Linked DNA regions of Mus musculus. The protein of the gene in region 1 purifies or fractionates together with the protein of each later gene. This does not show direct contact. Links are inferred from orthologs where the notes say so. Each region holds a gene or a part of one and is shown on either strand. Other genes may lie near its edges.

The links.
Region 2: the proteins of Nek1 (region 1) and Cfap410 purify together in Homo sapiens (affinity purification with mass spectrometry; 3 studies listed by BioGRID and IntAct, with this or other methods). This does not show direct contact. The link is inferred for Mus musculus from reciprocal best matches to the Homo sapiens genes NEK1 and CFAP410.

What each region holds. Positions count from the first base shown.
Region 1 is NC_000074.6:60,991,626-60,996,037, forward strand, and holds the start of Nek1 (serine/threonine-protein kinase Nek1), read left to right. Parts: upstream 1-1,567; 5' UTR 1,568-2,138; intron 2,139-4,412. UniProt on the Homo sapiens protein: Phosphorylates serines and threonines, but also appears to possess tyrosine kinase activity. Involved in DNA damage checkpoint control and for proper DNA damage repair.
Region 2 is NC_000076.6:77,977,045-77,981,503, forward strand, and holds the start of Cfap410 (cilia- and flagella-associated protein 410), read left to right. Parts: upstream 1-1,605; 5' UTR 1,606-1,660; coding exon 1,661-1,737; intron 1,738-2,708; coding exon 2,709-2,727; exon of another isoform or gene 2,728-3,007; intron 3,008-3,456; coding exon 3,457-3,503; intron 3,504-4,459. UniProt on the Homo sapiens protein: Plays a role in cilia formation and/or maintenance. Plays a role in the regulation of cell morphology and cytoskeletal organization. Involved in DNA damage repair.

The DNA.
Region 1 (4,412 bases):
TTCTGAGTTCGAGGCCAGCCTGGTCTACAAAGTGATTTCCAGGACAGCCAGGACTATACAGAGAAACAAACAAACAAAAACCAAACAAACAAGAGCTGACTCTCAACATTTGTTTAATGTACTAGCTTAGGTAACTTGCAGTGTCACCATCTGGCAAAGAAGCCCTTAATCTGTCCATTTCCAAGCTGGAAAGAATTATAAGCTCCTGAACCTAGAAAAGTCGATTTGGGTGTGTGGGATGGGGAAAGGATGGAAAAGAGAAATCAACTGTCTACAGATCTTAGGCAAGGTCTATGCAGCCTCGGTAGTGTTCCATTCACACGAATGGAACAATGTGGACAGCAACTATGGCTGTATACAAAGACACTATCCTCTTCCTGCCTCAAGTATGGACTTCTAGAGTGCCATCCTCTAGCTCACTGAGTAGAGCTACTCGGGATGACACCAGGCTTGTTCTCAACTGTTTCAATTCCTGCATCGAATGATTTTTAGTCTACTGTACATCGTCAGTCCCTTCAGTATAAAGTGTATATACAGTAAACATAAAGGTGTAGGACACTGTAATGTAACTTTGTATTCTAAAAATTAAAGATAAAACTGCTTCGTTTAAGTTCACGAAGTAACTGTGGATATGTGCATAAGTTCAGGTCCCGGTGCTTGCAGAAGATGCTCCTGAAGTTGTTACAGGTGAGTTAACCAGACCAAGGTTTGCGTCCCAGAACCCTGGTCTTCTGTCTTCAGAGATGAGCTGTTTGAGCCATCCCTTAAAATAACTTTTTAAAGGGCATTGTACTTAAAGAAAAATTACTTGTAAATATTTGGCATCCTCAGTTAAGTAATGAGCGCTCAAATTAAAAGTACCTTATCTGTGTACCGTGTGGGAAAAAGTTGTTAATATGCTCTCTTCAGTCTGAGTCAGATTCCTGAGCGAAATTCCCGCCTTCACTCAGCCTAATTCTTTCCGGTTTTACTTTATTCTACCGACACCCGTCTTTCACATGCTCCTTTGAGCTTGGAGTACCTCACGCTCTCCCTTTGGTGCTTGGAGTTTTTAACTCTTGAAGTTGCTCCAGTCTCCACCTCCCCGCCCCCAGTCCCCGGTGCTTGCACCAATGCACTTGCCCAGTCCTTTCTCTAGTCCCAGTACTTCCTAGCTCTTTTGGCCCAAACATATTCCAATGGCCCCGCCCCTTGACGATGCCCCGCCCCATTCCCCCGTCCCCGATTCTGCCCTACCCATCCCCGGCTTGCTACGCTCCGCTCCCAAACCGCCCTTTTTAGCTTTTACCTACCACAGGCCCCCCACTCACTGCACCCTCTCCCTAGCCTCTCTCTCCTCTAGGCCGGCCTCTGGTCCTTCACGCTCCCCGCTAGCTCAGCTGCTGGCTGAGAGCCGGGTCCCACTAGCTTTCCTATTCCGTAACCCCGCCCTTCCCCGGAGCCCCGCCCCATCACTCTTAGTCCAGCCCCGCCCCGCACGTACAGTCCGTTCGCTTCGCCTGGCCCCGCCCCCCGCAGATCCCGGCTCCTCCCCTGCAGCGCCACAAGTCGGCTCCTGCGCGCTGACGTCACACGCCAGCGACAGTGACGCGAGGGCCGTTCCCCTCTCCTCAGCAGTAGCTCTATGGTTTCAGGGCGGCAACGTGCAGCGTCCTTACCTTGAGCCTGTGCAGTTGCCCTCACCCCGGAATCCATAGTCACTGTGACGAGGCGGGAGGACTTGGGCGACAGGTAGCCTCCCAGTCCCACACGCTGCGGGTCCGCGCCTGGCCAAGCCACCTCGACCTGTGAAGTTGGGGGCGGTACCCAGCAACTCCCCCTGTGCAGCCGCCGTTTCCAAGGGGTCAGGAACCGCTGTGTTTGTTTCGTCCGCGTAGCCAGGGCGGGTCGCGGAGTACTGTGCCTGACCCGACGGTGGCAAGTCTGACGCGTCAGCCAGAGACCGGTGCCCGGTGTAGGAGTCGCAGCCTGGGCTGTGAGCGGCTGCTGGGTAGACAGACTTGCTTTCTCTTACAGCATGTCATTTCCAAAATGCATCGTGGTGCTTCTGCCTTAAGTCCTATAGGAAGACACTGCCGCCACTAGACCGGTGCTTATGGTCGCCACTGTTATTCTGACTCAGGTCCCGTGTCATTGAGGTGAGTTGCGCGTGGGAAAGCAGTGACAGGCAGACAAGCAGAATGGTGAACTCACCGGGAGTGAGGAGACCTGTATAGATCTGTGGAGTGCATGGATACTCGCCTTAAGTGTTTGCGCCTAAAGCACCTTCTCCTTAAGTTGTTAATGGGGAGGACTTGTGTATGGCTCAAGGCAATTCTTTGGTATTCTAAAAAGATAACGCTCTCTTAAGAGACGATAAACTAATCTAAGTAGATGATAAGTCACTTAAATAGATTAGATTAGATGCCTGTATATTTTAATGAGAAAAATAGCAGTTAACTGGTTACCCTAAAGCTTTCCATGGTTTGACACAATTTCCACGTGTAAAGTATTAAAAGTTTTGCCACTTTAATAATTCAGTGTAACTTTGGGAAGGGGTCTTGGGGATTGGATGACAGGAACTCATTTTTGCTAGGCAGGTGATCTGCCACTGAGTTATATACCCTGCCCAATGTTTTATTCTTCCCTGTAAGATCTCCCTAGAAGCAGAAATATTTTTACTGCCTACATAAATCACATCGGAAATGTTTGTGAAGGCTTAAAAGCCCTAGTCCATCTGAGCTTTCACGGTGATGGGCTTTGCTTATGCTGCAGTAAGTGGAGGTGATGGGCAGCAGCCAGATGGAAAAAGAAGCAGTTCTTTGTTTCTAGTTTCTAGGATCTAGAGGTCTACATTTAAAATGGCCTCTTGTTCTGGTGAAACCAGAGTAACAGATTTTGTGGGGAAACTGGTTTTTACACTGAAAAAGAAAGTCTGTCAGAAATCTGATGAAGGCTGTGGGACTTAACCACAGTTCTTTTGAGGTCGTGTTACTAATGCATTGGCACTGTATTCCAAGTAGGTTTTACCCTTCTAGAATCGTGGACATGATAGCTTTTCAACAGAGGAAGTTTCTTTTTGCTTGTTGATAGTTTCTACTATAAACTCCTTGGGTATTGTCTAAATATATTTACCAAGAAGAAAACACATACTTAAAAAATATTAGCAATTCTTTATTTTTTTTCTAGAGATTCCTCATAATGAAAAAAATAGAGAATTTTCCTTTCTTGGAAAACACATTGACCGTTTTCTACAATTCAGGTTGTCTCTATTGTTTTGGAAGAACCGTGTGTATAGATTTTGCCTGCAGACAGTACCAGAAGACCTCTTGGCATCTGTTAGAAGTAGGCCTCACCTATTCCTAATGTTTCCCTTTGGAATAACCTATCCATCAAATATCTGAAAGAGCTAATGCTTAATCTCTGTCAGTGTTTTCCTAACTGATGGAGATGCAGTTTAAAATTCCTGTACTCTGAAACTTTTAATATGTGGTTCATGTTATTTATCAAGCACTACTTACTTGAAACAGTTCTTAGAAAATTAGAAAGGTACCTATCTAATTTGACTGGAATTGAGGAATATTTTTCTGGAGCATAGTTGATATACTTAAAAAGAAACAAGATATTGTAGTAGCATGAATTTAAATGTTAAGGTGAAGTGTTTGGAAATGGAAAATTGTTCAAGGATGCCTGGTGAATAGTAGGCAGATGCTTCTGCCTCCAACCTGTAACCCCATCCTGTTCAAAATTTAAATAGGGACATTGAGATGGACCAGCAGATAAAGACACTTGCCACCAAGCCTGATGCCTGAATGACCGTAGTTCAGTCCCCTTGACCTACTTACATGGTGGAAGAACAAGCTCCCACAAGTCTTCTTAGTGTAGAGACACACAAACACACACACACACGGTCTCTCTCCATATAAACTTGGTTATTTTTGTTTTCTTTTAATTTATGTAGGAGAAACTGATTTGCTCTGTATTCTTATATCAGTATACATGGCTGATTAACATTTAATTTTGTTGTTTTGACTAGTTAATTCTAATACAAAAGATTGTAGACTTCTCAACTCTTAATTTTCATTCTTTGGAAGCAATATTATTAGTTTATTTTGTGTCCTTACAGAGGTATTATATATTTGTGGGTTTGTGTACACATAAATATGTATATAAATAAGTGGAGCTATAAATATATACATATGTTTTTCTTTTGCCACCAAATAGAGTGTTTGTTATTTGCCAACCTGATACAAATCCAGATATATCTTAGAATGGGATTCTCAATTGAAAGAATATCTCCATCAGGCTATCTGTCCTTGTGGACATGTCTGTGAGCATTTTCTTGGTAACTGGTTCTAGAGAGAGAGCTCAGTCTAATAAGAATGATGCCATCCTTCGGCAGGTGGCCTTGAGTTGTATAAAAAAGCCAGCTG
Region 2 (4,459 bases), on another chromosome or scaffold:
ACTTGATACAATGTGATACAATGTAACACAATGTAATACAATTTGATACTACAACTCCACCACAGGTCTCTCCAGGACAAACGGGCAGAGTGGGCAATGCCCACCTCCTGTCAAACACTCCTCAAAGTCTTAGCTCCTTTGCCATCATCCATGTCCTTCTGGCCTCCATTGGAGCGGCCAGCAGACCTCTTTAAACGTGGCTGAACTGAGCCTATAAAATTCTTCCCACCACACTGGTGGCTAAGCTGTATCTCTCAGCTCAGGCCTTATTGTTCCTGATGGTAATGAATGGCCCGCCAGAGGCTAAATCTTCAGCGTCCGCTCTCTTTCCACTGTGGGTTCCAGGGTGCAAACTATGGTTTTTAGGTTTGTGCGTCCAGTACTGTTACCTACTGAACCATTTCACTTGTTTTTGGTAAAGGCAGACCAGGGTGGTCAGACAGACAATAGAGCCCTAGAATACTTCATCAAGGGCAGTTTATTACCTAAAGGGCCTGAAGTACCCAGTGCCTGTCCCGGTGTAATCTGTAGGATAGAAAAAGATATGAAGATTTCAACCTACAATCTTTCGTTTTGTTTTCTTCTGGAGATCTGTTTTCTCCAGAAGAAAACAAAACAAAAATTCATTTGTGATTACTTAAAATGCACACTGACAACCACAGGCACAGTACTGACTTTCAAAAACATAACGTCTATTTTCTATTTGTTTGTTTGTTTGTTTGTTTTTAAGGTTTTTGTTTTGTTCGTTTTGTTTTTCTACATATGAGTGTTATGCTTGCATGTGTGTGCAACCCAAGTGACCTGTCTGGTGCGCAAGGAGGCCAAAAGAGGGGCATTGAGTCCCCTGGAACTAGAGTTACATAAGGTTGTGATCCGGCCATATGAGTGCCCTGGAAAAGCAGCCAGCGCTCTTAACTGTTTCTTCAGTCCCTCCCCAAGCCCCCACTACTCGGCTTTGTCTTTTGAGATAATGTCTGTATGAGCCAGTCTTGCCAGAAACTGGCTCAGGCAATCCTCCTGCCTCAGCCTCTGAGTGCATCAATTACAAGTGTCAGTCATCGTCTGGTTGTGGATTAGCTGTTATGTAACACAAATCCCCGATTTGGGGTCAAGCAGAAATGGGTGAGGGCTCAGTGGTGACCAGGGCCATGGCAGGGATTAGGATCCGGAGCAAGCATGCCAGGAGGGTTTCTGCTGGCATCCACTACGAGGACTCTGTCACCCTTCCCGACTCGACCTTTTCTGTCCTCGATGTCTCCGAGACCAGCCAGGCGTCCCGAGTCCCTCACACACCGGCGCCTTTCTCACCCAAGCCAGCCCATCTCAGACTCTTGCACACTGGAATCCTAAGGGCCGCCCTTCCCGCGCACGCAAACACGGGATGCAGAGACCAGCGGTCCCCAGGCAGCAAAGCCCGGAGCCTCGTGCATGCGCAGGACCGGCGGGCCGCCAAAGGGGCGGGGCGGAATCGCGTATCACGGAAGTCGGGCCGTCCCGCTTCGCCGGCGCGCTTCCGCCCTCTCGCCTGACTGCCAATGGGACCTCAGGCTCCGCCCCTAGAAACGCGGGCCCCGCCCCTGGAGACGCGCCGCTGCGCAGGCCTCTCCCGCTAGCCGAGTGTACAGCGGAGGGCGGCCGGGCCCGCGGCCCTGTGGCCACCATGAAGCTGACACGAAAGATGGTCCTGTCCCGAGCCAAGGCTTCGGAGCTGCACAACGTGCGGAAGCTCAACTGCTGGTGAGGCCGGCCAGGAGCGGGAGGAAGCAGAGGCCGCGCTGAGCGCCTGCTACCCCAGGCTAGCTAGGTTGCAGGCTCACTCTGAGGCCAGTGCTTCAGAGGAGTGCGGCCCTCGCAGGATAACTAGAATTTCCCTCTAGTGTTGCTGAGGGCTTTTCGCTAACCCTCTGTGTCTGTGTCTGGTATCTGAAGACAGAGGTGCTTAGTGGCATGTCTACAGGGAGAGACTGAGGTTGTAAAGTCATGATCCGGTGCTGGAGAGGGTGACCTGGTATGAGTGACAGCCTAGACCTTAGATGCTATTATATGGATGCACTCTAAGTTGCATGGCTGAGTCACACTAATACTGAAAGCCCCGGGCTTCTGGAGGAGTTTGTATCTGGCGTGTGGAAGAGCTACAGGTGTCTCTGGGGACTGGGGTGGGATGCTGTGGCCAGAGCATTTAGCAGTGGCAGAGCAAGTGCAGACCCCTGCTTCTAGTAATGGTCAGTGGGCTACTGGAAAGAGTGAGCTTTGTTAATTAAAAGCCTTTCCCTGCCCTGGCACATCTGGTGTTGGGGCCACAGTCCTCCCTGTCCTGGGTTTTCAATAATGCCTTTCTTTGTCGAGCCAGCGAGCACATCAGGGCTTCCTCTGTGCAAGCAGAAACAACACACATTGCAGGCCCGTGAAGTTTGCTTCAGAAGTTGCATGACCGGCCTTTGAGCTTGGCCTCTTATGAAGATCCCTTTGTTTATGTGTGTGACTGGAAAGAGCTTTCTGCTATGGGAGCCTGAGAGGAGAAAACTGTGTACCCCCATGCACCAAGCAGGGAGTATTGGCAGAAACCAACCTCACCCTTATTTGGGCAACCAGCCTTCCTTACTGTTCCGAATGTAGAATCTTTAGATTTATAGACAATTGCCATTTCTTTGGGGATTTTTAAAATATTTTCATTCAACAAATTAAAGTCTATTTCTTTTCTTCTCCAGGGGCAGCCAGCTCACAGATGTAAGCTCTGCCTTGATTGTATCTTCTTCCGGATGCCCCTTCCCCCAGAAGAATAGCTAAAGTTACAGAACTGTGATCTTCAGCTCAGTGCCGTGTCACTTGCTAGACCTGCACAGAGGAAAACAGAGTCAAAGCTCTGCCTTGAGAGGAGTCCCTGGTGGTGATTTCCCTCAAGGACATCAACAGGGGCACTCTGCATGGCCTTCCTCAGCTTCAGGAGGCGACACCCCAACCCCACCCGAAATGACAGGCAGCTGGGACTGTGGAGCCCACAGCCCAGGTCTGATCCACAGATCTGATGGTGTGTCGTGGCCAAACTTAACTGCAGTTCTGTCTGCCTTGAGCCCAGAACCATTGGCAAGGAGAGTGTCTGTCCTTTCTTTGTGCCTCAGGGGCAGCAAGGAGAAAGGGTTGTGTATCTGTCTCAGGGTGGGAAACCACAAGATCCTTGGCCAGGCGTCCTCAGAGGGTATTGACTGTAATGATGTTCTGTGTTAGACACAGAACTGTTGTAAACTGCCAGGTAGAAACACCCAGTGTAGAACACCCCAAGAGCAGGCTGGGCCACAGAGACCAGCATGCAGCTGATTTCTTCTGAGTGCCCTGGTTGTGCAAGCCCATACCCCTTGGCCCCATTAGTACAGGTGACAGGACCCAGGACACATGTGTCCCCTGACCCGAGGTGACCACACTATTGTTAACTCACTGGCCCCGTTCTTCCCTCCCTAGATTTCCATATGCCGGGAGATGCCCAGCCTAGAGGTAATCACACTCAGGTATGTGACTGACTGTAGTCCTGGGGCATGGAAGCAATGGGGAGGCCGGGGAACTCATGTCTTTCCTCTGGAGTGTGGGAAAACAGGCAATCTGGAGACTCCCAATGCCATCTAAGACAGCAGCATCTGCTAACTGTCTAGGGAATGGGACTTCAAGAACCTGGAGCCCCTACCTGCTTTTTAAGGATCTTACATGGGCCTCCTAAAGGCTTACCTCTGCTTGTCCTCTCACATTCACCCCAGAAAGTAATCTGTGTATTTGTAGCAGGCTCCCTAATAATGAGTAGTAGTTCAGGTAGGCCAGTCCTCCCTGTGGCTACATCTGTCCCTGAAATTCCCAGTACCCTATCTCCCTGCCTTCCTGATTCCATCACTTCCATCCCGACATTCTCTCCTGCCCATCCTGGGGCCCAGGATAAGGCTGACACTTAGGGCCTGTCGTAGGGTTTCTATTCCTGCACAAACATCATGACCAAGAAGCAAGTGGGGAGGAAAGGGTTTATTCAGCTTACACTTTCACATTGCTGTTCATCACTAAAGGATGTCAGGGCTGGAACTCAAGCAGGCCAGGAAGCAGGAGCTGATGCAGAGGCCATGGGGGGGGGGGGGGACTTTGGCGGTGAGTGGATGCTGTTTTCCCTTCCTGTGTCTCCACACTTTCTTATGGGATGGAAATCATCCTAACGCCCTGTTTTGTTTTGGTTTATATATGATACGGAGCCTGTGGGCATTTTTGCTGAGTTTTAACCAGTGCCTGCTGTGGGTCAAAGCGTGTCCTCTGGGGACTCAGTATCATCGAAGAAGCAGAGTGAAGCATCTTGTCTGCCACAATAGTTCCATGTGAATGCAGAGCTCTAGGCCAAGGAGCTGCCCATGTGGATCTCAGGTTGAGGGATCCTGCTGATTAGGTTCTGACCCATTCTAAGGCAGAGACCTTCTCTTGGTACCCATGGGTG